Linked DNA regions of Rattus norvegicus. The protein of the gene in region 4 interacts with the protein of the main gene of each other region in a biochemical or structural test. Links are inferred from orthologs where the notes say so. Each region holds a gene or a part of one and is shown on either strand. Other genes may lie near its edges.

Region 1 (3,500 bases), on a different chromosome or scaffold from region 4:
TAGTTCCAGGACAGCCAGGGCTACACGGAGAAACCCTGTCTTGGAAACTTTTAAATCTATAATAGGTCTGGAGATGGCTCAGTGGTTAAGAGCATCACATGCATCCTGTCAGTTCCCAGAACCCAGAGTGGCCCACGACTTCAACTCCACCTCAGAGGGATCCGGCAACAGTATCCTGGGCTGGCACATGCACTCACATTCACACACCGCCCCTCCCCCCAAAGCACACATACAGTAAAATAATATACAATTTTTAGAAATAAACACAACTCAACAGAAGCCATTAGGCTCGAGTGAGCTCTTGTACCTTATTGTCCATAATCGTCCATTGTCCCTCAGGATTCTGCTTCAGAACGCAGTGGTTTCGAGAAATCATCAGAGGGCACACCTTTGAGATCAGCTGGTACGTGACACTGAATCCCCGTCCTATGGTCACCTGGAAGACAAGGGCAACTTAGGACATTCAGTCACTCTGCTAACAGGGGAGGTTCCTTACAGTCTTACCAACCAGCGGCAAACACGAGTCCTGACTTACGAAACCAGACACCTGTGGACCCTAAACTGTTCATCTGCTGTCCTCTCCCCCTCTTCCTCCTCCCTCTCCTCCTCCTCCACCTCCCTGCCACAGGGAGCCACCACAAAGACCAAAGCAAGACGTTGTGATAAGAGAACACTTAAGAGTTAACAGTAACCAAAAGGGGAGGAAAAAAAGCCAGCCAGCACATCTTTAGTCCCAGCACTGGGGAGGCAGAGGCAGCAGAGGCAGGCAGAGGCAGGCGATCTCTGTGAGTTCAAGGCCAGCCTGATCTACAGAGTGAGTTCCAGGACAGTCAGGGCTACACAGAGAAACCCTGTCTCAAATACCAAACATAAACAACAAGAAGAGTTAACCATGGAGGGCTGTGACACAGCTCAGTAGTTAAGCGCATTGGCTGCTCTTCCCCAAGACCAGGTTTATTTTCCCAACAGCCACAAGGTGGCTTGGAACCATCCGTAATTCTAGCTACAGCAGATCTGACGCCCTCCTCTGCCCATACCCCCACCCCAGGTACGTGTGTGTATAACACACATGCAGTCAAAACAATCACAGCCATAAAATAATTAAAAAATAAAAACAAAAAAGAGCCAATATAAACACTCAGGCTCGTACAACCCTGACAGGTCATTTATTTCTACCATCAATGACAAGGGAGACACACTGCCATCGACTCATCTTGAGCACTGCCTTTATGCATATGCCAGGCCTTGGGGTTTTCTCAGTAAACTGTTTTCAGTTGACCCTGGTTCTGCCCTAGGTTCACCAGGAACTCTCCAATCCCCTTCTACAGCTGTGAAGCGTCTCCCGGGTCACCGTTCTCCCCCTGTACTCCCAGGGTCTGAGTTCGAGTGTATCTTCTCAAGAGGACTCCTGGTTTACTGTATAGCTGTTGTGCTTAGAGAAACAAACGTAAGTTCTTAGGGGTGTTGGAAAGCAGCGACACAGCTCGAAGTCAAAGGGTGGGTTACAAGCGGGAGGCTTATGCTCTGCTGGAGATGGCCTTCCAGACTGCCCTCTCCATGTTCTGCTCGCTCTCCTGCTTCTACGAGGCCAAGTCATGGATCAGCTTCCCAGTTCTAGGCATGGTTACCTGCACATGTGTGGCACCAGCTGTCACGGCGCTCTAGTACATTGCCAAGTTATCCTTGGCCAGAGAAACAACATTTTTTTTTAAAATTTTTAAATGTTATTGCCCTTATTATATGTGCATTGGTGTTTTGCCTGCATGTGTGCGTATGTGAGAGTGTCAGATCTTGGAGTTACAGTTGTAAGCTGCCACGTGGGTGCTAGAATTCCAACCCCAGTCTCTGAAGAGCACTGCCCTTAAGCACTGAGCCATCCATCTCTCCTGCCCCATGACTACAGTTCTTGATCCTCCTCTCCAAGGTTATCATGGTGTGTCTCTTTCCGTACGTGACTAGCTGGCAGATGTGCATTCAAATGCAGGACCTGAAGCTGCCTTCGTTCCCTGTCATCTTGTTAGTTCAGCCTGTCACAGACATAATGCTCCTTCTAGCTTTAGATTCCCGTGAAACGGACATGGCACTTGACGCTGTACCTTCAGTCAAGGCATATGAAACATAAAGTCAGTGTGGATTGGAGCGGTGCTCAGTGGGTAAGAGCTCATAACTCCATGCCCTCTTCTGGCCCCTGCAGGCACCTGTACACACATGGGGTACGCACTCTGCAAAGTCTAGTTTGTAGTCTACAACTAAATCCCTTGAGCCCTGGGCCTGCGCTTACCCACGAGAACAGTTGGAGTTTCTGTAGAAGACAGAAACAAAGCTCAGATTCCACCTATCAAACTTCCTGGTGCACTTGTCCAATCACAGCTACGTGAGGGAAGGAAATGAGGCTCTTCTGAGACCCAGGCCTTAGTTTCTTAGTTGTTTTCTGTGCTTATGTGATCTTTTGACAGAGCTACGGTGACTGTAGCAGAAAACAGCCAAGGTTACGGTTTTCTCCTCTCCTATTTCCGAACACTCTCTGTAGACCATGATGGCCTGGAACACAGAGATTCTCCTGCCTCTGCCTCCTGAGTGCTGGGATTAAAGGCGTGCACGGTCTGTGGTTTTCTACAACATGCATTCATTCCTCCTTTTGTAAATCGTTCAGAAGCGTATCTTCGAGCTCCTTAAAGACCAGTGACAGCGCGGGCCTAGTTTACTAGTTGCTTGTAACTAACCTGACCATCAAGTTAGACCTCAGCTGAGAACACAGAAGCCACCTTTGATTGTGAGTCCTTCATTCCCACACCCTAACTGTACCTAATCCTATCCTGCGGTCATTTCTGCCCTGGGAATCTTCACTGCCACCTCCAGTCCACCTAGTCCTGGGCTTTCAGCTCCTTTCTGAGTCTTTCTCTTCCCACAGTAGCTACAGAGCGGATAGAGAAAAGGTCAGATCACCTCTCGTCTTCAAACCCCACTTAACCTAAAGCTATCCACACTCCAGTCGACCGAGGGCCTTTTCATATACACTGGGCTCTGCTTAAAATGCTTTCCTCAGAACCGTAAACTCCTCTTCCCAGACTCACCCGCTCAGGGCCCACACTAATTACACTCACCTACAAGTGGTGAGACACAGTTCACGAAGTTCACGTTACCAGCATACACTTAGCACAGCCCTAAAGTCCCTCCTACCTGTCCATCCTGCCCTCACTGCTTCCTAGAGTGCACATCTCATCCCCACTGCTTTCTGACCCACTACACAGCAGATACTTGACAACACAGGGGTGTTGCCTGAACCCTGTGTGGTAGGTGTGCCCAGAACCCTAGCAGTAGGAAGTGGGGATGGGAGAGGACGCCCGCCTGCCTATAGGATAGGCCCAGATTCCAAAACGGGCGATATTTGAGTGTTGTTTTATGTCAGAAGTTGGAAACTGGGGGGGCAGACCCCGAGATAGCTCAGTGGGTAAAGGCACTTGCTACCAACCCTGACAGCCTGAGTTCAACATCTTGGC
Region 2 (3,500 bases), on a different chromosome or scaffold from region 4:
ACACAGATGCTCAAGCTGCCTTGAGAACCCGTATGCGACTGGAAACATTCAGGGCTGAGACAGCTCCTCATTGTCCCTGCACCCAAGTGCTTGGGGCGGTCCTTGAGGCCAGTGCCTGCTGGCTTTGTCAGAATGCTCACACTGCCTTCAAAGGCCACTGTGCCATCTGCCCCGGCTCTACCACTCTCACCTTGTGTGTACACAGGCCCCAGTGACTGGAGTGGCCTTCCAGGAAGGTGGCACATACCTGAGGCACTCTCCTGAGCGCTGGCCAGCAGACAGAGCTTAATCTCCAGGCCGATGGCTTTGGCCAGTGGTGGTGGCACAGCGTTCCCCACCTGCAGGAAGGAAGGAGGTAACGTCAGCTTGACACCAGGCTCAGGGGCCTGACCATGACCTGAGTTTTGTGGACTTGGTCTACACTGAGATGTCCACACACCACAGGCACTGACAGTTTTTGCTTGCTCAGTCCGAGACAGGGTCTATGTAGTTCTTTAGACTGGGGTCAGAGATCCACGTACTTGCCTCCCCAGTGCTAGCATTAAAGCCTGGGAAGGGCATCTGTGCCATTGCATTGCTGCTGCTGACCCACAGTTACACACACAACCTGACTCACAAGCTGTGGCCCCCTACTCCCAATTCGAGGCTGAGGCTACTTGGTGACAAGCTCTGGGATGGACTGACCTGCCGGTGTCTGTCCAGGATGTTGCCGAATAACCGGTAGGTATCTGGAAAGCCTTGGGAGCGAGCACATTCCCGCACACTCACGACCCGGTGCTGCTCGGGATGGAGCACCCGGCCTTGCTTGCCCATGGGCTCAGGGTTGGTGACGGTGGTACTGAAGAAGCCATCCCACTCCAGACGCCCGTAGAGGCCAGCCCAGTGGTTGTGCCGGTTCCCAGTGTGCGGCAGGCACCAGGGGATGAGCGTGTTGAATTGTCTGGAAGCAGGGTCGCAGGTCTTGCCTTCCGCACAGGAGCAGACCCCACGCAGGGCCCCGGTGCTGCTGCAGCCGTTCTTCGTGTCGTGGAAAGTGTAGCGAAGTTTATTGGTTATGACGCCATCTCTCAGCCGCACTTGTATGTTGGGCAGGTCACGCCAATCCGATCCTGGGGACAGCGGGATGTGCCGCATACGGGCAGCCACCAGCGCGCTCATGTCCTAGAACACAGGGAATCCCAGCTGAAACCCAGTTCAGGGAGCACAAAAGGGGAGCCAGAGGCTCGGATTCCATCAGGATGAGACAACCACCCAACCCCAGCTGAGAGATGGCCGAGGACGCCTGGTGCATGTCCGGAGGGACATGTGAGGTGAGCGCATTGGACAAAGAGGTTCCGTGTGAAGTCAGCCGGGGAAGCACAAACACGAGGACTGATGTAGGAAAAGCCCATACAGAAACGCTGTTAAGAGGGCGCTGTGGGGACATTTGGATGTCAACCTGGACCATCTGAAAATGACACTGTGCGGGTAGGAGATCAGAGATGTTGAGCCTTGAGGCTACGGAGATGTAAGCGAGCCCAGGAGAGAAGCTGGGCCAGGCTCTCGCAAGACCGAAGGGAAGCTAGCTACCTTGCAGATATGGTCCCTGAGGATGGGCTGGTAGTGCGACCCTCGCAGCTGCCTCTGGAACCAGGACTGTGGCTCTCCATTGTAGGAGATCTCGGGGGCTGAGGCTCCATTCTGGATCTCAGGGAGGTCAGACATGGTATCTCGCACCGTGATGGTTCGGAAGGGACCCGAGCTTAGCCTGCAGCAGAAGGTGCTCTATTAGAGGTCAAGCGGGTGGTGGCCTCTGCTGGAACTCAGGATGTGAGGGGCAGCTGAGGTATGGGCCCCTCTCAAGTCTGCTGCCTGCACGTGAGGCAGGACCTAAGGTGGAGTGAGGCAAACCCAACCGGGCTTGAGATTCCAGCCAGAGTCCAACACAGATCTCCTCAGTAAGCCAGGGAACACGAGCAAAACATGGAGGGCTCGGCACTGTCACAGCCACTCTCCCACACGTGGGGGCCGAGCACAGCTCCTACCTTGTAATGTTGCTAACGAACTTCTTGTCGTCCACCACAACACTCAGCTGGCAGGCACGGGGGGCAAACACGTGTAGAGGTTCTGGGAACAGAGGCAGCTTCTCTCCAGGGGCTGCAGCCAAGATGATGGCCCTCCTTCGTGTCTGGGCCACACCATACTGTCCAGCCTGCAACAGGGGAAGAGAGATGGCATTAGGCAGTGTTTGCCCAGCTGGCTCTTCTCAGAGAGCCAGACTGGAAAGCAGCAACGCATATGCATACCTGCAACTCACCAAGTGGCATGGCGGCCACTGGCCAGCAGTAACAGTTTGCCCCAGTCAGCCAGGGCCATGCCATTTGCAAAACTCTCATTTTGGTTAAATGGGGACAACCCCCAAGATTACAGTAAGTTGAATTTATAGAAGCAAAGTCACTCGTCTGCATAGGCCCCTGCCATCCCGATTCTGTCAAGCTCAGTTAAGGCTGACCCCGGGGAATGCTAACCCATCACTATGTCTTCCGACTCTTCCCTGTCTCCTCACGGTAACTCCTGCATCTGTAAGTGGATGACAAGACCTCTGTGTGACCAGAAGGAAAGCTCCCATCCCGTGTTTGCTCTGGATAAATCCTATTCTGCTGGGCCGCTTCTCTTGTATTTTACTGACCTTACACCGGTCAATCCCAGCCCTCCCAGGGAACACTGCAAAGACGATTAAAAAGCACTGGGGAGGCCAAGAGCCCTCCCTCCACCCCTGACAGTCATGAAGATGATGAGCACAAGGCGGAGGCGAGGGTTGGGAACACCAAGCTCATCCCAGGTGGCCTCCCATGACTTGTTAGTTCAGCACCCACTGAACAGCTAATTTTGTTGTCCGATTGTGGAATCAAGGTCTCATTGTAGCCCAGGCTAGCCACAAACTTGCTATGTAGACAAAGAAGAAACCAAGTCCTGATCCTACCTACAATCCCCTCTTACTTGTGGGATGGTTAGTGTGCGTAACCACGTCTGTGTGGTGGCCAGAATGGAACCCAGGCTTCCTGATGGTGAAACGAGCTCTCTACCAACTGGGTCCCAGCTAACCACGATCACTCTGGGTGCTGGGGACAGGACCAAGGCAATGTACCACACTGAGCTGCGGCCTAGCTCTAAATCCTGAGATGCCGGCCTTCAATGCATGGAATCCCTCTTCTCCAGCCTCCCAGGACTAGAGAAGACTGGCTTTCTCTGTGTAGCTCTGGCCATCCTAGAGCTCTGTAGACCAGATGGCCTCAAACTCAGATGTGCCTACCTGTGCCCCTAGAGTTGGCATTAGAGGTGTGGGCCTCCATACCTGGCTAACCTATGCTTTTCCACCTGAGCTGAGCCACTATCTTCACAACCATACTGCTGGGCATGCAGACCTCCGCTACTCACAGCCCAACCGTCTCCTGGTTAGCGACGGGGAGCAGCAGCCCAGGGACTGAACTAGGGGAGGCCACTTCCGCCCCTCTGCCTGC
Region 3 (4,198 bases), on a different chromosome or scaffold from region 4:
TCGGAGCTGGGGACCGAACCCAGGGCCTTGCGCTTCCTAGGTAAGCGCTCTACCACTGAGCTAAATCCCCAGCCCGTAAATAAATATTTTTAACGTTAAGTTATTCGAGGTAGTTATCATTCACTGCATCCTTTTTGCAAGTAGAAACCAAGAAATTAAGCTACTTCCTGGGGTCCAGTTCACACCAGTAATCTAGCACTTGGAAGTGTGAGAGTCACAGAAGTTAATTTACTTGTACAGGTCTAGATACTAATATTAACTATTAAACAGTCTTTACCTCATACTCCATCATCAAAATCTCATTAACTTTCCACAATACCAAAATACCTAAATTCCAAAATGTAACGCTGATCGTTTTAGGGGGGCAGAATAATGTAGTGGTCAAAAATGCCTAGGTTCTCTAGTTTAACCACCTACTAGTTGTATGGCAAACTGTTTAAAAAGTATCTTTACTGTTATAAAACTTGACTGTGGAGGGCCTACAAGTTGAGGCAAGAGGATCATGAGTTCAGATGTGCCTAATCTATAAACATTTTAATTTCAAGACCTGATACATGGTACTATTACCCAAAATTCTCCTTCAAAATGAACTTGGAGCTGAGCATGAAAGCAAGGGACTTTAATCTCAGTACTCAGGAGGCAGAGGCAGAAACATCGCTGTGAGTTCAAGTCCAGCCTGCTCTACATAGTAAGCTCTAGAACAGCCTGGACTACGTAGAGACCCTGTCTCAAAAAATAAAACAAACAAAAACAAAACAAAATGAACTTGGGAGGTTTGAGATATGGTTCAGTGAGTGGGAACACTTGGTTCTCTTGCAAAGAACCTGACTTCAGTTTCCATCACTCACATGATGGTTCACACCCATCTATGACTCCAGTTCTGTACTCTTCTGACCTTCTTGGGACCAGGACTGCATATGCAGCACATACATGCATGCAGACAAAACACTCATAATTTTTTTTTAAGTTTTTCCAAACAGGATTTCTCTGTGTAGCCTTGACTATACCGGAACTCACTCAATAGAGCAGGCTGGCCTCGAACCTATAGAGATCTGCCTGCCTCTGTGTCCCAACTGCTGTGATTAAAGGCATGCGCCACCTATAAACTGCAAAGGAATGACTGGAGAGATGTCTCAGTGGTTAGAGTACTTGCTGCCTTTCAGAGGACATGAGTTCAACTCTAATTCCAAAGGGTTCGACACCCTCTTCTGGCCTCTGATGGCACCGGGCATGTATACTCACAGAAATATATTCAGGCAAAATATACACACTACAAGTTAAATAAAAATTTAATGAACTTGGGGGCTGAAGAGATGGTTCAGTGGTTAGCAGTGCATACCGTTCATTGCAGAGGTCCTGACTTCCATAAATAACACCCACAGCAAGCCATGCAAAACCACCTGTAACTCCAGCTCCAGAGGGTCTGACACCCTCCTCTGGCCAACATGGGCCCTCAAACACATGTATGCATACACAAACACAGAGACACACATGACTAAAATAGGAATAAATCTTTGTTAGAACAACACTTCAGATGAATTTCTAGAAGGTATTTAAAGCAAACAACTCACACATAATCCAGAAAATAAAAAGGCTGACTCCCGGTGGCTACCATCACTATCTTCTCTCCCCAAGAATTAAAAACAGAGCTGAAATTTTTTCCAATTTGGTATAACACTTTTCTCCCTTGAATGCTGGTGTTCTGACAAGCTTAATAATAAAAGTATATATACATGTATACTTATGTGTGTGTGTGTTATATATGTGATTGTTAAATATCTTGTGGATTAGCTCAACATCTTCAGTTGTTCTGTATGTTAAAGATGATTTCAAACTTGTAACTATCTCCTATGCCAAGGACTATTTCACTTTCGATCTATTTAATGTTCACTACACAGAATTATGTATTGAAGTTGGAACAGAGGGTTTTTTTAAAAAACTACTTTTTGTAACAGGTGATAAGAGATGACAACTGTCAAATACATAACGTCCGTGTTTTTTATTCCTGGTAAACCAGGTTATCCGTTCAAGTCCTATAAATTATTCTAAACAAAGTAAAACAACTTCCTTGTGTCATCAGCTCTCTAAACGGCTGAGACGTACTTCAGGAAGCTGATTAAACCTGAAGGCCCGAGCAACTTCTCCCTGAGAAAGGCAAGCGTCACATTCTTCCTCGCAAAGCTTGAAGTCACGACTTAAGGAAGCATTCCAACAGAGATTTGGTACAATGCTGGACACGAAAGTAACTTTTAACGCCCCGTCCAAATTCTTCTTCCTCCCTTCCCCGAAGAGTCGGGAGGTGGGGTGTGAAAGTGCCGCGTAGCAGCCACATCCCTGCACGCTGCGTCCCTGGTGCGCCCCGAACCCTAAACGGGGCCCCTCGGAGCACTCTGCATGGTCCTCCCCACCCAGCACCGCGGCGGCGTCCCGTTCACACCCCGCCTGCAAAGTCTCTGTAGTTGCACCGCCTCCCGGGTGGCTCACCATCGCAGCCCCACGACCGAACAGGAGCAGGTGGGCAGGCCCGTGACTGGAGGGGTATCCGTTATCGCCGCTCGGAATACATTGGCGCCAACAACTTCTCCCGCGAAGTAGCAGACGCTCAGGCGGCGCGCGGTGATGACGTCGGAGGCGCGCTCCCCGCGGCCCCGCCCCGAGGCGGGAGTTGCGCACAGCCTTGGCAACAAGAGGGTTGCTAAGTCTGTAAGACACTGAATACGTGAGCGATCCTAACAGAGACGCCCAGTTTGGGATCTGAGACTGACTTCCTCTAAGGCGGGTTCCCAGGTGGCTTCCTTCCCCTCCCCGTACACGTGCTGCAAAGGCAGTCCTCTGTAGCGGCTGCCAGAAGTGGACGAGTCTTTTTTACTGTCTTTTCCCCCAGAGCGGAGAACCGAACCCAGGGCCTTGCACTTGCTAGGCAAGCGTTCTACCACTGAGCTAAATCCCCAACCCCTCTTTTTTACTTTTTATATATTTATTTATTGGAGATGGAGTCCACGAGTAGTAGTCAAAGAAGAGCTTTCGGGGAGCCCTTGTCTTCCATCGCGTGGTTATATGTTTGCATTTAAGGGACTGTTTACATTAAAGGAATATTTTTGTTTATTGGGGAGGAGCTGTTTTCTGAGACAGAAGATCATGTATTCCATCCTGGTAAACTATGTAGCTGAGGATGACCTTAAACTGATTTTTTTAACTGCCTCCCAAGTGCTGAAATTTCAGATATATGCCAACATTCCTGGTTTACGCAATGCAAGGGATCAAACTCAGAGCTACTGTGAATGCATGCAACCGACTGGGCAAACCCCAGCCTCAATGGCTTTGTTCTAAAACTACCAAGCTAAGAAAACTAGCCCCTTAATTCCTTCCTAAAGCTTCATTCAGTCACTTAAAGAATAGTGAAATCTTTGAAGCCACTACATACCAAGATACACCCCCACAGGAAAACTAGAATCAGGAAAGATTTAGGATAAGCAAGTCTCAGCAGGGAGGGAGGAAGTAGGCCTGCCTCCACCACCCGGCTGCTGGGATTACAGGGGTGGGGACTCACATGGGCCAGTAAGCTTCCTGTGAGTAAATAAGCAACTTGGTTGTGGAATAGAAAGTAACATTCACATACAACTTCAAGAGAAAACATGAGATTATCAAAGAATTTAGTGACGAGGACAGTATCCAACTTTGGCCTTGGCTTTGAAATCTTTTTCTAACCACTTCTTGTTGGGTCTTGTCATTTTGTGACACATATCTACAGGGAAAGGCAATAAAGCCTTCAGGAATACAAGAGTTTTTTGGTTTTTTTTTTCTTTTCTTTTTTTTCGGAGCTGGGGACCGAACCCAGGGCCTTGCGCTTGCTAGGCAAGCGCTCTACCACTGAGCTAAATCCCCAACCCCAAGAGTTTTTATTTACTAGGTGTCTATCGCAACATGATTTTGGTTTGGTTTTTTTTAAAATTTATTTATTTATTATATGTAAGTACACTGTAGCTGTCTTCAGACACCAGAAGAAGGCATCAGATCGCATTACAGATGGTTGTGAGCCACCATGTGGTTGCTGGGATTTGAACTCAGGACCTCTGGAAGAGCAGTCAGTGCTCTTACTGCTGAGCCATCTCTCCAGCCTGATTTTGGATTTTATTTATTTATTTATTTTTCCTCTTTTTTCGGAGGTGGGGACTGAACCCAGGGCCTTGCACTTGCT
Region 4 (4,076 bases):
GACATAATTCAGCAGAGTAAGGTTAAGAACTAGCTCTCTGAGTTGTGTGTATATCTATCTATGCTCTAATTCTTATACTTACATTTACTTTAAGTCTGTGCAGAGGACAAGAAAGTAACACCTTCTATTTACCTTACATACTTTGTGGTAAGCACTCTGAATCTCACCATATTAACCCTGAAATCTCACTTAGTTCAGACTTTGATGCTAAGGCTCGGTAGCAAAACTTAAAAGTGTAACCATGAAATATACATCTGATTCCTGAGAAAGCCTTGAGTCAGGGCTACTTAGGAATTAAGAGAACTAGTGTGTTCTGCTTGAATGAGGGCTTGCCAAGCATCTTCCCCTGCCATCCCAATTTCTTCCCCATTTTTTGAGATCCATTTTCTGCAAGGTAGACTTTAAACTGAGAATCATCCTGTTGTTGCTTTGAGTGTCACAGTTATGGGTTTGAGCCACCATGTCCAGCTTCCTCTAGGCACATAAAATGTCAGAGTATTCAATGCAACTCTTTCCGAGTTGCATGAAGTCTTATTTCCTTTGGTACTGTGGATATTCTTATTATTGTATTGAGTCCTGTTGCCTGTAGCTAGGCCTAAATTACAACCTAACTTTGCTCAGTCTGCTTTTGCACCATTAAATGAACTAGTAACTGAACCTACAACACATAAAAGCTATTAGAGGAGCTACATGATCCCAAGACTTTTACACCCCCAACCATTCCGTTCACTTGCTAATCCTCACTGATTTGTCAAGAGTATTTCCAGGAAGCAAAAGGTTGTACACTTAGCTTTCCAAATCCTGTCTGTAAAAGCTTATGTGGCATCATCTGAGTTCCAAGCCAGCTTGGTCTACTCAGAATGCCATCTCAAAATGAAAGAATGAATAAACAAACAGAAGTCAAGGCTTAATGGCTAAGCCGGCAATCCTGCTTCAGACACAGTTAGCTGGACGACACCTCTTGCTACTTACAGCTTCCTCTTCTTTATCAACATTGCTTGTCTGGGACAACTTAATGTTCCCATTGCCAAGCTCCCCACTCGCAGAAAACTTCACCCCGTCCTTTGCACAGGAGATCACCACAGCATCTCCAATATGGCTAAGGTCCCGGCATATACGTGCAAATTCACCAGATGGCATCTTTACTACGCAGCTGTACTCCTGTTCCTGTAAATGCAAGGTTAAAGGTCAGTCTAGAAAAGAGGAAGACTCAGCTTCATGTTCTCAAGTTTCAGCACCTTAACTAGAACTCAGAACACAAGACTTCTGATGTCTTTACAACTCAATCAAGTTTAGGCTGTTGTGGTCTGGTGAAATGGCAAACACCACAACTCCACTTTAGAACATGCATCAGCTGGTATCACAGCTTGGTAAAACACCATCAGAAACAAGATACTTACTGGGATTCCAAGTTGCTCAACGTCTAAGTCCATTAACTTCATCTCATAGTCTGAAACTTTCTCTTGATCTACCAAAAGAAATCCAAGTGTTACTGAAGCACATGTTCATATCTATGTTGTAAATTTACCACAACCCTGTTGTTTTTAATTGTGAGAAACAGAAACAGCACACTTTAATTTCTGTAGCAACTGAGTTTTAAGGGTGTAACTTACTTGGTGCTTCAAATACTAGTGCTAAGGTATCAGCATTATCTTCAGCCCTTAATGTAATGATGTCTTCATTACCAGCACATTTTAGAATTTTGGACATGCTAGAAAAAAAAAAGGACACAGGGCTTATCAACATCATGTCTCCACATTTACATTTTTAAATTTATATTTCACATTCATGATTGGAGAATTGTTAGGGAGGATAAGGGTACCCCGAACCCTCTCAGAGGTTAAGCAAATTATCGGGTATATGTGATCCTTAAAAATCGATTTAGTAAAATGCACTAAAAGCCAACATTCAAGAACGCATCCTTTTTAGTGGGGTGTCCTCGGTTTTCAGCGTACTGGAGAGTGTGCCCTATCGCGTCTGGCCTTTTCATAAATGTTTCAAAATGTATACAAGTGACACTAATCCATATATCTGTACCAAAATAAGTCACATATTGTCCTTGAAATGTATACAGGAGGCACTAACACAGGTAGTTGTAGCAAAGTTAAAAGCTAAAACTGAGATTTTCCTGCAAATCCATGACGCGCAGTGAGATTCTAGAAGTCAAGAAAAGGCCTATCGTCACTCTAAGACTCTAAGTCGACAGTCCTTTTTCACCAGAACTCGCTTATTAGGCGCTAAAATCGGCCAGAAAAAGCTGCAGGCACTTAATGAGCGCAGCTCGGAAGCACGCATTTTCCCGCTGACTACCGCTTTGTGGCTTTGGCGCGGGAAAAAAGTAGGCGCGACAGCCAGCGCGGGCTTTTCGGAACCGCGCGCTTTGGTGGGTGATGTCCCCGGCACCACAGGCCAATCAGAAAGCGCGGACGGCCATGCCAGCCAATGCGAGTGCAGGAACACAGCCCCGCCAAGAGCCGAAGCGGGAGGGATGGGGCCCAGCTCCCGCCACCCGCTCACCTGGTGAGGTTCACGCCCATGGCCAGGTTGCGATCGCAGCGGTATGTGTCGAAGCCTTCGGAGCGCAGAGTAAGCTGCACTAAGGAGACGTGAGACGAATCCATGCTCTGTAGGTTCACGCCGCCCGAACTGATGTCCCAGCAGGCCTCATTGATGAGGTCTTTGAGGGCCTCCAGCACCTTCTTCAGGATGGAGCCCTGGATCAGGCGTGCCTCAAACATGGTGGCGGAGTTGCGACGTCTAGATGAGAGTTACTGTAAGGGGAGCGAGGTCTTGCTGACAAGGTACCCCGACTCACGATGCAGAAGTAGCGTGAAGACCAGGAGGGACGATAACCAGTCACCTGCGCCCGCAACCGTCTAATGCCGCGGCTTCCTAGGCGCGCGCTCTTTCAGTGCGCGAGGTTGTGGCGTCACAGCGCTGACCCACCCACCTCTCCTCTAGAACCAATCGTATCCGTGGTTTGAGCAAGGCCCGCCCCGCCGCGTATACAGAGGCGGAGCTGTGCGGTAAGAGCGTGGGAGGCGAGGGGCATCACGGGGTTCGCGTAGGCTGTCGTCACCGCCGGTGTTGGAGGGAGCTTAGGCTGTGGTTTCCATGTTCCTTAGGAAGTTTCTGCGCCACGGAAATGAAAGCCACTTGCAGTGCGCGGCGGCCTGCCTTGAAGAGGGAGACTGTAGTTCCTTCAAACACAGTGGAGTGCGTTTCTTTTACTACTGCGTAAAAAATATGCCGCAAAATATTGAGTAATAAAGAGGCCATCTTATCTGAACACTCCCCAATTTCATAACACTTACCTGGGTGCTTCGCTCTGAACTTTCCTCCCTAAAGATTTAAAAAAAAAAATGCCTCTTAACGCGAACGCTTCTGCAAAGATATATAGTTCATGTGTACCACGTAATTAGTTTCCTGTATGGTTGGTTTCTTTTATATTTTTAAAGGTAGATATTAGTATTTTCATCTTAGTTTTAGGCTTAAGATGAACCCAAGCCTGAGCCCCATCTTGAAAATATTAGCTGTTGCAGGTGAAGCGTCTTTCATATGTCCCTGGGCTGCAGCATTTTGTTCTACTAAAACTTCTTTTTCCTATTGATTATGAGGATGGAGAAGAACTGAATGTAGGTAATGGGCATCATTTACAAAAGGATATAAATGATTTCTATTTCTAATGCTTTTTCTCTTGGTTTTGGTGGTAGATAAAATATATTTGATAGTGGAAGTGTAAAACTTCCAGCTTCCATTTGGAATGCCTCTTCTAACTGTAGACACAACTTTTGGTGTGTGATGTTTTATTTATTTGCATTTTTTTTTTTACTAATAAGACATATAAAATTTCAGAAAGTTAAAAGGATTGTTTTAGCTGGTAAGAGTGTTTTACAGCTAATTCCAGCACATGGGAAGGCTGAGGTGGGAGGGCCTAGATTTAAACTCAGCTTGGACTATCTACCAAGACTGACACGAAGGGGGAAAAAGGAATGGTTTACGTATGAAAATATTAACCACATATCATGTGTATTTATTCTTCCCTTATTTACAGCATTTCTCTTTAGCTTGTCTTG
Region 5 (3,500 bases), on a different chromosome or scaffold from region 4:
TTTTCTTATTATTCTTCCTGCTCCTTGTTTTTAAGAGCTCTGTCTCTGTAGGCTGTTCTTAATTTACAGACATTGACTTCCTACTTTTTTCTTTGTCATTTTTAATTCTGAATTTTGAGGTAGGCTAAGTGTGTTGTTGATCCCTTCTGTTCCTCTGAGGACAGAGATTCCCTTGTTGGATCCTGGCTACATCCTGTCCAGGCCTTTAGTCACAGGCCAATCTGCTCTTTGCTGGTGACTTCCCCAGGCTTCAGGTTAATCAGTTCAAATGACCATTAGCAACAATTAGCAAAAGCGACATGGTTTATCTCCCCATATGAAGAAAGTGCGGAAGACAGATGTTTTTGCTGGAATATTCACATGTGTAAATAAATTGTAATTAGTGCCCAGGAGTATGTAATTAGGCGTCTAGACTCCCAGGGCTGCTAGAGAATGCAGCCATGTAGAGGTCTAGCTTCTTCTGTAAGAGAGGCCTGGCGTAGTCGGGCCTGCATCTCAGCATGCCCCTCCTCTTATGCCCGTTTAGAGTCTCCTATATCGTCGACACAGACGATGGGCCCGAACCTCCACGTCTAGAGACATGAAGCCTCTCCTGTGTGGTTTGTTCTTGTGCCCTTTTGTCAGCCCCGAGGGTGAAAGCCAGAAAGATTACAGATCCATCTTTGTTCAGCTTTTAAAGCAGATGCAGACTTACTGTTTAGAAAACATCAGTGGACAGAGAGCTCGGTTTCATATTTCAAATGAAGACTGCCTAGTTTCTTATTACTTATTCTTCTTTTATGTAAGTTATTAATTGAAACCAGTCTTACTATGTGGCCTGGCTGGCCCGGAACTTCGCTGTTGGCCAGGATAGCTTTAAACTCTGCGATCAGCTTGCCTCTGCCTTCCAAGTGCCTGCTCCACATAGGTTTAAGCACAATTTCTTTGAATAAGTACGTAAACAGGCAGAATCCTGTGTGTGGACGCTCTTGTCTGTTATAGACAAGCCAGTTGCCATTCGGGCACAGGTATTTTATCTTGCCTCTGTGGACTGTGCATGTGCTGTCAGCTAGGCCGATTGATGAGCTACTGGGGAGTAAGTCCTGTGACAGACACTTCATCTCCACGTCCTTCCAGCATGAATCCTAGGATGGATCATACAACTCTGTTACCCACACCAAAGAAAACGTGTTTCTTTCTCCCCTCCCTGTAGTATCGTGAGCAGATTTCATAACCTGGGGCCCAGTCATTATTTGCAGCAGGGCGTTCATGGGGTGCACAACATCCAGACTTCATTCTAAAGCTATGTTTTCCTAGTATATAGGCTTCCTTCTGTTTCTTTATTAGTAAAGGTGAATGAAGGTCTTATGCATGTCAGCTAGAACTGCCAGGAACTGCATTTTCACAGTCTGCTAGTGAGTAAGCACTCTCAGCATGCATTTCTCGTCACGGACCCTCAGCATCTGGTTAGTTTGTAATGACTCAGGACAAACTAAGGAAGCAGTTAGAAGAGTAGTGGGGAGTGTCAGGGAGGAGTGTGGGGGAGGAGTGTGGGGGAGGAGTGTGGGGGAGGAGTGTGGGGGAGAAGTGTCGGGGAGGAGTGTGGGGGAGGAGTGTGGGGGAGGAGTGTGGGGAGGAGTGTGGGGGAGGAGTGTGGGGGAGGAGTGTGGGAGAGGAGTGTGGGAGAGGAGTGTGGGGAGGAGTGTGGGGGAGGAGTGTGGGGGAGGAGTGTGGGGGAGGAGTGTCGGGGAGGAGTGGTGGGGAGGAGTGTCGGGGAGGAGTGTGGGGGAGGAGTGTCGGGGAGGAGTGTGGGGGAGGAGTGTGGGGGAGGAGTGTCGGGAGGAGTGTCGGGAGGAGTGTGGGGGAGGAGTGTGGGGGAGGAGTGTTGGGGAGGAGTGCCAGGGAGGAGTGTCAGGGAGGAGTGTGGGGGAGGAGTGTCGGGGAGGAGTGAGCATGGACAGATCCCTGGGCTCTTTGAACCCTTTTGGTGAGAGAGAAAGTGCATGTTTGTGAGGTGATACCTTTGTCGTTACAGCTGTAAACCTGCACAGCAGCACGCATGTGAGACTTGCGGTTGGATCGCAGATTGCAGCAGAGATGCGGGAAGCCATGCATAACCAGCTGGGGCTCACAGGCTGCGCTGGCGTAGCGCCTAATAAACTATTGGCAAAGTTAGTGTCTGGTGTTTTTAAACCAAATCAACAGACAGTCTTATTACCTGAGAGTTGTCAGCATCTCATTCACAGTTTGAACCACATAAAGGAAATGCCTGGTAAGACAAATGCATTTGCAGACAAATACTGGCCTTGTTGTAGTTTCTTTAAACTATGCAGTTAATTCCTAGAAGCGCACACTTGGGTTTGGAGAAAGCCAAAAACCTGAAATGTTTTGTGTACGAATCTGTGTGCAGATAGACGTGCAAGTGCTTTTCCACACAAGGCTTTGAGTGGTGCCCTGGAGCCGTATGGTGGAGACATCTTTGATGTTGAGAGTAGCTTGGCTTTGAGACGCAAAGCCTTCGCAACACTGTGCATTTCTGTTGTTTAGGTATCGGCTATAAAACCGCCAAGCGTCTTGAAGTCCTGGGAATCAATAGTGTGCATGATCTCCAGACCTTTCCAATCAAAACCTTAGAAAAGGAATTGGGAATTTCTGTTGCTCAGCGCATCCGGAAGCTCAGCTTTGGAGAGGACAAGTCGCCTGTAACACCCTCAGGGCCACCACAGGTATGTGGGCTTGGCGTTAACCTTACCAGGTGGTGGTTATGCTACCTCAGCTAAAGGTGTCTGGCTCTCGGATCCACTACTCTGCTGTGCTTTGCGGCTGTGTGTGACCCTTTCCCGGGAGAAGCTGACTGCTGTGAGAGGAGCCAGTACTCTGAAATTGAAACTTGCCTGCTGGTAGTTTTAAATCTAATTACCTACTTTTTGTTACTACTGCCTTAACACACAAACATATGAAGAACACTTTTTAACCTTTTAAAACATCCTCACCTTTAGACTAATCCAGAGATTTGGACAGTGGGGAGGGAATAACTACCCAGTTGTTTGGCACGTGCTAGGCCTCAGAAATTGCTCCACAGACCCACTGCAGTGAATTTCACCATAACCTCTTAGATAGGCAGTGCTGTTTGTTCAGACCTCCCTTCCTGCTCCTGTCCTTCCTCTTTCCCTCTTTAAAGCTGCACTATAAAAAGGTTAAATAACTTGTCCAAGCGTAAACTCAGATTAAGGCTCTAGGGCCATGGAAACCTTGCTGTAGTCCCATAGAGTAATTAGAGGTGGTCCCTGTGCTTCAAAATTGTATGACTCTTGGTGCACAATAACAGGACACACAGTAATGGCACACACAATTGCACACACAATAACCTCACACAGTACTGCACACACAAGATAACTGCACACACAGTACTGTGCACACAATAGTCTCACACAGTACTGCACACAAGATAATTGCACACACCAGGAATTAGTGCAAAAGTGAACCTGGTGTTACCAACGCATAAAGATAGGTAGTGAAGA
Region 6 (4,111 bases), on a different chromosome or scaffold from region 4:
ACAACCACCAGTAATGGAGATCCGATGCCCTCTTCTAGTGTGTCTGAAGACAGCTACAGTGTACTCACATTCCTAAAATCTTAACTTGATTCTACAGTGAAATGCTCAAAAGTCCTGAGTCCCAGGACTCAGGAGGCAAAAAAGAAAAAAAACAAAGATCTGACTTTGAGACCAATCTGATTTGCAGTGAGTGAGTTACAGGCCAGATGGGCTAGTAGGAACTATATGCTGAGCTATCATCTACCTATACAAAAAAGGCCTTGTGGGTCACAACTTTAAACCTAGCGCTTGGGGAGGCAGAGGTAGGTAGAATCTCTGCATGAAGGCCACCCTGATTCCTGGCTTAGTGAGTTAAAGAACAGGATTATATACAGACCTTGCCTCAAAAATAAAAAAAAGTTCTAAGATAGCCAGGGCGTAACAGAGAAACCCAGTCTTGAAAACAAATGAACAAAAAGGGCGGGGAACATGCACATTCCAAATGCCTATTTTAATCCCAGCACTTTGGAGCTGTGGGAGGGGCATAAAATGTTCAAGGGAAAACCAGGTGGTACACACCTTTAATCCCAGGGGAGAGGCAGGCAAATCTGAGAGGCTAGCCTCCTATACAGAGTTCCAGGACAGCCAGGGCTATACACAGAAACTGTCTGGGGAGGGGTCCAAGGCTAGCCTGAGCAGTGTCTCACCAAAATAGAAAAGTATGGACTGACCTATCAGTCCCTTTTCTCCCCGATGCTATTCCAATTCAGGCTGTATTAACCAAGCCCAAACTACATACCACTAGTAAGAGCAGTCCTCTTCCTATCACTCCTGACTTCTCACACCGGCCTTACAACTGCCTTCTACTACTACCTTAACAATGTCCTTCCAAGTAGGAAGAAACTCACCATCACATCAGAGTCAGGACCAAACCCAGAAAACAAGGTATCAATCTGACCATAAGCTTTAGTTAGGAAGATGCTGAAGGCTTGCTGCTGAATTACTCCAGGACTCACCCTAAACAATGGCCTAAGAGTCTTAACTTGTCAAGAAATTCTCCCTGTTCAAAAGCCCTTTTTCAGCAGCTAAAGCCAGGTGCCAGAGAACATCCAAATCCAAGTCACTTCATCTTGCCTTCATTAGCTGCTTATGCTAATCGACCCACCACCAGGACCTACAACCTTCCCCTGGAGACTTCCAAGATGACCTTAGTTGAATCCCTAGTATTGACTTGTAGCAGGTGTTAAATAACCCTACACATCCTCTACCTGTGGCCTTTCCCTTTCCACCTAGACCTCCAAAGTCTGCTCCAGAACCAAAGCATTTTTGAGTTGTGTCAGGTTCCTAAAAAAAACACCTTGTCCCATCCTGCAAGTATGCACTTGAGTCAACCAAGAAAGGGCAGTTCCAACAGCCTTCAAATCTTCAACATACCCGTGGAGCGCACAGTGTGATCCTTGGTGTATTTCACCCGCTGGTGAGCCTCCACACAGGTCTCACACAGTGGTTCAGAGCACTCCACACAATAGCTAGTGGCTGGGGCGTTATCTTCACAGCTAGTGCAGCACTGTGAGTGAAGTAAAGGCGGGGGTTAGAACAGGCAGAACTATCCAACGGACCTCTATTTACTTCCCAGAAAACACAAACTAAATTTTACATAATGCATTCAAATCTGTACTACCCTTCCAGAGACTCAGACTGTTATGAACATACTATCCAAACTAGTTAAGCTGGTGAGATGCTTCAGAAAAGATGCCTCCCTCTCTTACAAGATATCCCAAAGGACATACCTGGTTAGCATCCTGGGAATCAGAAGAGGCCTTACTGCCACTATCACGCATAAAGTAATTCTCCACGATGTCTTTGGAGTAGCACTGTTGTTTGCACACTGGACAATCCACCACTGCCAAGACAAGAATGTGTGAAAAAACTAACTGCATGCTCACCTAAGCTATGCCCCCAACTCAAAAGTCGAGCCAGACACTCGGCTTTCTTGACTCCTACCCCACAGTCTGCATCTCGGTGTCCAGACCTGGTAACCGGCATTGCAAGCCGCCAGCACCCGTTCCCCGCCCCCTCTTAAACCAGCAGGCCTACTTAACCCTACCCGGGCCCCCATACTCTCGCACAGGCGCAGTCCCGAGCACGGGCTTCAAGGAGGGGGGAGGGGCACCTGGCCACCCAGTACTCACTAGCGCCGTCGCCCGCCGAGCCGCCATCCCCCGAATTATTAGCTGCGGCGGGTGTAGCGGGGCCAAGGCAGGCACTACAGGCCGAATGCAGACAGGGCAGCAGCCGAGGATCCCGCTCAGGCCGCAAGCGCTCGCGACACACGCCGCAGTGCTCCAAAAGCTCCTGCGCCTCGCCACCGCCCCCCGCAGGGGACGACGCGGAGGCCGAGGCCGCCGCGGCTGAAGAGGCAGCGGGGCGCTTCTCACCGCCCGCCGAGCCTTCGCCCGACCCTGGGCTACCAGAGGCCGCTGACGCGGCCGTCGCGGCCGAGGCCGCCGCAGTCGCCGCCGCCGCCGAGGCCGCCATTCACACGCCGCCGGGGGGTTGGGGGGGCCGCCCAGGGGAGGAGGGGCACCGAGCCCGCTGCGCAGGCGCAAGTGCGCTCGCCGCCAACGGCCAGGCAGCCGCCGATGCCGCGAGGCCGAGCGCCGCCACGCGTCTCCTGGGCCGACGCCCGCCGCGCCCCAGGCGCTGCCGAGATGCGGCCAAGCCGCTGGCTGCCGGCCTCTCTACAGACGACGGCGCCGCCACCCGCGCCGCCTCCTCCCTTGCTGCTGAGACTCGCGCCGCAAGAATTGCGAACAACCGCCCGACCGCGCGCCGCTCGCAGAAAGAGCCGCGGCCTGGAGGCGGGACAGAAATATCTGGCGCCGACGACGTCGCGCACGCGCGTTGGGCACCGCAGCCTGGGGGCGGGGCGCAGGCAGATTACGCACGCGCCAGGGCCCTCCCTTCTACTCGCAGCCGCCCCTCTAGGTCCAGGATAGCAAGACTACCGGTAGGAAATTCACCCGCGGAGTACGTGCGTGATGTCTCCCATGCCCACCGTACAGTGCACCGAGGCTTATTCCTCGCGTGCTGGAAAGCGCGAGTCGTGCAGAACCGTACCTTAGGCCCCGCCTCCTTAGCAGGCGTGGCGACGTCCGCAGCCGCAGCTTGGCCTATAGTCCGCGAAGAGGGGCGGGACAATCCGAAGAGGGCGGAGCCACGGCTGAGCACAGAGACCGAGCCCAGGTGGAGGGGGTGAGGGGGTCTTTGGCAGGAAGTTCCCGCCGAGCGTGGAGGCGGTCTTAACCCAAACTTTTTTTATTGTTAAACTCGGGAAGCGAAAAGTTGTCCAAGTCAAACCGCAGATCACAGAGAGGTACTGAGAAACCATTCTGTAAAATTCTGCCCAGTCTTTCGAAAGCCTCTTCTGTTTTAGTCCTCTGCTATTCTGGTTTTAGTGGGTTTTTTGGAGGTGGAAGAACTGAACATCTAACGCGAAGGAATAAAAGTTGGATCTGAGTGATGAATCTCATCTGAGGGAGAAATAAGACCTGGGGAATAATCTTGCATGAGGAGCAGGACCTTGGCTGAAGAATTTGATTTAAGGAAAAGAATAGCAGGATCAAGAGCGGTGAAGCGGTTCATCTCAGATGCAGGATCAGTGTTAAAAAGGCAACCTGTACCCCTTGCCATTCTACTGCCGTGCTGAGTGGATGCCTCTGCAGCCTTGCAGTGTACTGGGTACGGTCTGGGTCTGGGCTAGAGTGAGTTGCCCACAAGCAACTCTAGGGTTCTCAACAAGAGTCTACCTCCTCCGTGCAGAACCAGGTGTTCACCCACGTGGCAGCGGAGAGGCGAGGAGTGTCCCGCCACTGTCCCGGGTGTGGCCTTTGTTCCCAATCAAGCTGGGGGCCCAAGGTTTTGCCCCGCCCCAGCCTTTGTTCCTATCTCGGCAGTTCTGCGTTCACCATTCGGCGGGCCACGCCCCCACCAGACCCAGCCTCTGGACTCTCACTTCTACCTCTGAAAAGGATAGTATAATCTGGAAGCTGAGTGCGGGCTTCCCGTAGAAATATTTGCGAATATTTTCACGGCCCCACGGACTGCTGGGGCCAGACTCACCAGGGTAGGG
Region 7 (4,181 bases), on a different chromosome or scaffold from region 4:
ACCAATATGAGAGAGAGTCATGGGGTAAGGCTAAGGCTAAGTTGGCAGCTGCCCTGATGGCAGGGAGGAGGAGCTTAGATTCAATTCTAATATCTAGAGTTTTTGGAAGATTTTAACTATGAAAAGTTCAACCGAAGTTCTTTTTCAAAAGGTCACTCTGATTGTTATGTGAGTGACAGCAAGGAAAATAAGGACACCAGTAAGGGCACTAATCCAACAATTTAAGGAAGGTAACACTAGAACTTAAGACTTGTATCTGTGCATGGTTTACAAGGAGACACTAAAGTGCCTGAAACTTGTCTCTGAATTATCACTCTCCTCATGCTCTCAAGTTGTGTTCAAAGAAAATTAAAATTTAAAATATCTATTAATATCCACATTAATGTTGGCATTGTTGCTACTAGAAATGAAGTTTTTACTGATATTCTGTTTAACTTACCCTGATTTATTTCGGTTTTTATTTCTGATGGAGTCTAACTTTTCGGGCCCTAACTGATCTGTACCTCACTATGTAGATCAGGTTGGCCTCAAGCTACCAGAGATCCCCCTGCCTCTGCCTACCTACTGCTGAGATGAGCCAAACCCAGTTTATACCCTGATTTGCAATCCCCAATACTCTAATTAAGCACAAAGAATCACACCAGCCTTCAGTATGTACTCACTTGTAGAAGCAGGTGCCTAAGGCCTCCTGTGATTAGTTTTCTTCTCATGGTACTCTCTCTAGCATACCAATCCTATTCAGTGCACAGCTACAAGAGTACGCCACAGAAGACACTTACTGGGTACCTGTGGATTCAGTCTCATTAAATGCCTTTTATTTAAGAAGTAATTAGTCAGCTACCCAAACTGGAAAATGATGTCTTCAAACTAAGAATGAAAAGCTTGTCCAGGGGTTGGGGATTTAGCTCAGTGGTAGAGCGATTGCCTAGCCAACGCAAAGCCCTGGGTTCGGTCCCCAGCTCCGAAAAAAAAAGAAAAAAGAAAAAAGAAAAGCTTGTCCAAATTCATATACCAGCAGAGACAAAATTCAAGCCCATATCTAAATGCTTTGATCTTTCCACTTCAAAAGCCATTAAATACTGTGTGTTTGACTGTTAAACATAGGTATATGTAGTCACTGGAATTTATTTACAGTGACCGGTTGTTGAGAACAGGTTTTTTTTTTTTTCTTCCTATTTTGAATCTTAGTTTTTCAGTGGTAAAGAAGTGTAGTTACATATTTAAGCACATTCATTTTGAAAACGTGTATTTTTCTACATGAGACGACATAGAGATAAGATTAATGTTAAAAGCGATTCCCACCCTTAAAAAAAACAAACAAACAAATACGCATTATTTACCATAAAAAGGAGTAAAGTTTCATGACAAGATACACGATTTGGTACATACTGACCTCAAAGGACCTACAAGACACAAACAAGAAAACAGAGAAATTCAAGAAAGATGGCAAATAACTAGGCTAAGCAGTGAGCGAAAGCACTCTCCCAGACTGAATTCCTGGATGGTAAGCTTCCAAGTGTCCAGCACTGGAAGGGCGGGAAGCGTGTTCTTGCGACATTTGTCTGGGCAAAGCACTGCCTCTGTGGGAAAACTGACTCATGGAGATAGCGTTAAACTGAACTAATGTGCACTCCTATTATGACATTATAATTCTACCTAAAGGACTAGAGGAGCCAGAGACCAAGCAGATCATTTAAGAGTTGTCACATAGTCCCTAATAGTTAAATCCTTTCTACCAGGTCTCTATTTTTAATCTACACACCGTTTCTACTTTATACCCGCCAGGTCCAAGAAAAACACAGTAAAATCCTAGGCATGTACCACCTGTAGTGTTTTTTTAAAACAATTACGGAACGATACTGCAGGAAGGTACGGGCTTTGCAAACCGGGGACAGGAAGAGCCTCCAAACAGACAAGTGCCTGTCTACCCCGACTGTTGTTTTAACAGCACACCCAAGTGTCAATGAACTGAGCACCTGTACGGACACTTGGGGACAGGTGTCCTGCACACGGAAGGGACAGATAAGTAACAAGGGAAAAGGAGCGAGGAACACACTGCTTCCGGGGTCCCTGAGAGCAAGGCAGGAGGGAGGAAGCCGGTGCACCGGAGGGGCGAGCGGAGAACCGCGGCACGCGGCACGGGCCCCGGGCGCCCCGGCCACATTCTGCAAACGCTGGTGGAGCGGACGCTCGAACGCGCAAGGAAATGAATGGCCAGCCAGGCGCCGGCGCAAGAGGAAAGGGGGACTTGCGACGCCGGCGGCGGGACTCGCGGAGGCAGGGCCGCGGGCGCGCGACGGAGCGCGGGAGGCAGCGCCTGGGTGGAGGGGGAACGGGAGGTCACGCGTTACATAACCCGGCGGCCCGAGGCGCAGGGGCGGCGCGGTGCGGCGGACAGGAGGCCTCGCGGCAGCACCGCGGACTCCCGGCCGAGGCCCCGGCGCCTCGGGCCGCGCGGGCGGCGGCGGCCCGGACCCTGGCGGCTCGGCTCCCCTCCCCCACCCGCCGGCCCGGGGGTCGCTCACCTTCCGCGCCGCCCCAGGCCACCATGCCCGGGCCCGACCGCTTCCTCAGGCCCGCGGGCGCCGCCGCCGCCGCTCAATGCCCTCGCAGCGGCAGAGGAGAACGCCGGGGAAGGCAACCGGTCAGGCGGCTGCCGAGCCGCACCGCGCCTCGGCCCACGCTCCCTCAGTCGCGGCGCCCGCCTCGCGCCTCCGCCCCTCCCCCGCCGCCGCTCCGGCGCGCGCCCCGGCTCCCCCTCCCGTCCCTGCCGCGGCCGGCTGGCCCGGCCCCGCTCGCACTCACCGGGCGCGGCGCACGCGCGCTGCTCGCGCCCGGCCCGAGGCGACCCCGGCCCCGCCCTCCTCTCGCGCCGGCGCCCGCGGGAGAGGGGGGGCGAGCAGCGCCTCGGCGGCACGTGACCGTGCGGCTGGCTGGGCGGGGGTGGCGCGGGGCCCGCCGCATCACCACGCTGCCTCCTGCCCGGGCTGGCTGGCTAATCGTGCTGCAGCGACGCGCAGCCGCGCCCCGCCCCACCCCGCACGGACTCCCCAGCCGCCGCGGAGGGCGCGGGTGCCCGGACTAACCCCGTGGACGACCGCGCAGGGTCCTCCGAGCGCTGCTGCGCGCTCCGACTGATGTGCGGCGCCACCTAGCGGCGGCCAGGACGCACACAGGCTGGCATATGCTCGTTGGGCGAGCGGAGAACCGCGCGGCCCACAACGTTCTGCGGAACGCAGGGTCGCTTGCCGGCAGCCAGCTGGGCAGAGCCCAGACACGACACCGCACAGTCTTATCACTGCCGACCCCGCATTCCACCTGCGGCTGCTGCCTTTCCCGCGTGCAACACACAGACCTGATGAAAATTGCTTTCCCTTGTGATGGTTTAAAAACAACCGCTACACACATTTATTTATTCACGGATGTTTAGATACAATTACACCTTCTAGCAAAAAAAAAAAAAAAAACCAGTGGTCTTATAAGGCTCATTTTCCCAGCCTCTGTTGTGTCTGTTCAATGGAAGACTGTGTGGTTATTGTGACAATCTTTATTGTTGGAATGCTCAGACATTGAGCCAACCAACTCCTCGCCCTAGGCTCAACACTTTGGGTCCTTCTCCGGCTTAGACATTTGAAAGGAGTTTGCAGGCACTTAGAAAACAATCAGTTCTCTTTTTAAAACTGACTTTGCAAACCTGAGGCTCCTTTCCCAGAAAGACAGGAGATACTCGGATAAAATCTCTCTCTCTCTGTATATACACATATACATTTGTATGTATATATACATTGAAACATATATGTCTGTCTCAATTTTAACCTCTCCCTCTCTTGTTTCGTTTGCTTGCTCTCCTTGATGAATTCAACTTCAGTATTCCCTCCATACCCCCAGAGAGTTGCCTGTTTCTCCGGACCCACAATAGAAAAGATAGATACAGTGTAATTTCAGGAGTTTCAGAATGAGCTCTAAGCTGCAACACCAGCAGGTTGTGTAATGAAATGCCACTGGGGGTAAGGAAGGGGCAATTAGGCTTGTGGGGACTTTGTAAAAATTGTCTCTACACAGCAGTTATTTCCAGTTAAGGAAAAGAGCAAAATTTTAATTTTGAGACTGAAAAATAACTGAGCTCTACAAGGAATAAGCAATTATATTTCAATTTCTGATTTTTTCCCTATTCTTTCGTA

Evidence for each region.
Region 1: of the proteins of Pcna (region 4) and Rnf8, one has a biochemical effect on the other in vitro, tested with the Homo sapiens proteins (2 studies listed by BioGRID). The link is inferred for Rattus norvegicus from reciprocal best matches to the Homo sapiens genes PCNA and RNF8.
Region 2: the proteins of Pcna (region 4) and Dnmt1 form a complex in vitro, tested with the Homo sapiens proteins (3 studies listed by BioGRID, with this or other methods). The link is inferred for Rattus norvegicus from reciprocal best matches to the Homo sapiens genes PCNA and DNMT1.
Region 3: the proteins of Pcna (region 4) and Rfc1 form a complex in vitro, tested with the Homo sapiens proteins (5 studies listed by BioGRID, with this or other methods). The link is inferred for Rattus norvegicus from reciprocal best matches to the Homo sapiens genes PCNA and RFC1.
Region 5: the proteins of Pcna (region 4) and Poli form a complex in vitro, tested with the Homo sapiens proteins (4 studies listed by BioGRID, with this or other methods). The link is inferred for Rattus norvegicus from reciprocal best matches to the Homo sapiens genes PCNA and POLI.
Region 6: the proteins of Pcna (region 4) and Trim28 form a complex in vitro, tested with the Homo sapiens proteins (2 studies listed by BioGRID, with this or other methods). The link is inferred for Rattus norvegicus from reciprocal best matches to the Homo sapiens genes PCNA and TRIM28.
Region 7: the proteins of Pcna (region 4) and Rev1 form a complex in vitro, tested with the Homo sapiens proteins (2 studies listed by BioGRID, with this or other methods). The link is inferred for Rattus norvegicus from reciprocal best matches to the Homo sapiens genes PCNA and REV1.

What each region holds. Positions count from the first base shown.
Region 1 is NC_086038.1:7,686,965-7,690,464, reverse strand, and holds part of Rnf8 (E3 ubiquitin-protein ligase RNF8), read right to left. Parts: intron 437-3,500; coding exon 308-436; intron 1-307. UniProt on the Homo sapiens protein: E3 ubiquitin-protein ligase that plays a key role in DNA damage signaling via 2 distinct roles: by mediating the 'Lys-63'-linked ubiquitination of histones H2A and H2AX and promoting the recruitment of DNA repair proteins at double-strand breaks (DSBs) sites, and by catalyzing 'Lys-48'-linked ubiquitination to remove target proteins from DNA damage sites.
Region 2 is NC_086026.1:27,717,842-27,721,341, forward strand, and holds part of Dnmt1 (DNA (cytosine-5)-methyltransferase 1), read right to left. Parts: intron 2,192-3,500; coding exon 2,025-2,191; intron 1,748-2,024; coding exon 1,570-1,747; intron 1,162-1,569; coding exon 685-1,161; intron 339-684; coding exon 248-338; coding exon of another isoform or gene 1-247. UniProt on the Homo sapiens protein: Methylates CpG residues. Preferentially methylates hemimethylated DNA. Associates with DNA replication sites in S phase maintaining the methylation pattern in the newly synthesized strand, that is essential for epigenetic inheritance.
Region 3 is NC_086032.1:43,318,370-43,322,567, reverse strand, and holds the start of Rfc1 (replication factor C subunit 1), read right to left. Parts: upstream 2,801-4,198; 5' UTR 2,488-2,800; coding exon 2,485-2,487; intron 1-2,484. UniProt on the Homo sapiens protein: Subunit of the replication factor C (RFC) complex which acts during elongation of primed DNA templates by DNA polymerases delta and epsilon, and is necessary for ATP-dependent loading of proliferating cell nuclear antigen (PCNA) onto primed DNA.
Region 4 is NC_086021.1:139,953,021-139,957,096, forward strand, and holds the start of Pcna (proliferating cell nuclear antigen), read right to left. Parts: upstream 2,801-4,076; 5' UTR 2,739-2,800; coding exon 2,518-2,738; intron 1,712-2,517; coding exon 1,614-1,711; intron 1,469-1,613; coding exon 1,401-1,468; intron 1,168-1,400; coding exon 973-1,167; intron 1-972. UniProt on the Homo sapiens protein: Auxiliary protein of DNA polymerase delta and epsilon, is involved in the control of eukaryotic DNA replication by increasing the polymerase's processibility during elongation of the leading strand.
Region 5 is NC_086036.1:66,399,717-66,403,216, reverse strand, and holds part of Poli (DNA polymerase iota), read left to right. Parts: intron 1-2,014; coding exon 2,015-2,251; intron 2,252-2,526; coding exon 2,527-2,705; intron 2,706-3,500. UniProt on the Homo sapiens protein: Error-prone DNA polymerase specifically involved in DNA repair. Plays an important role in translesion synthesis, where the normal high-fidelity DNA polymerases cannot proceed and DNA synthesis stalls. Favors Hoogsteen base-pairing in the active site.
Region 6 is NC_086019.1:82,723,584-82,727,694, reverse strand, and holds the start of Trim28 (transcription intermediary factor 1-beta), read right to left. Parts: upstream 2,801-4,111; 5' UTR 2,518-2,800; coding exon 2,172-2,517; intron 1,883-2,171; coding exon 1,770-1,882; intron 1,547-1,769; coding exon 1,414-1,546; intron 1-1,413. UniProt on the Homo sapiens protein: Nuclear corepressor for KRAB domain-containing zinc finger proteins (KRAB-ZFPs).
Region 7 is NC_086027.1:47,844,528-47,848,708, forward strand, and holds the start of Rev1 (DNA repair protein REV1), read right to left. Parts: upstream 2,801-4,181; 5' UTR 2,526-2,800; intron 1,404-2,525; exon of another isoform or gene 1,341-1,403; intron 1,301-1,340; exon of another isoform or gene 780-1,300; intron 688-779; exon of another isoform or gene 663-687; intron 1-662. UniProt on the Homo sapiens protein: Deoxycytidyl transferase involved in DNA repair. Transfers a dCMP residue from dCTP to the 3'-end of a DNA primer in a template-dependent reaction.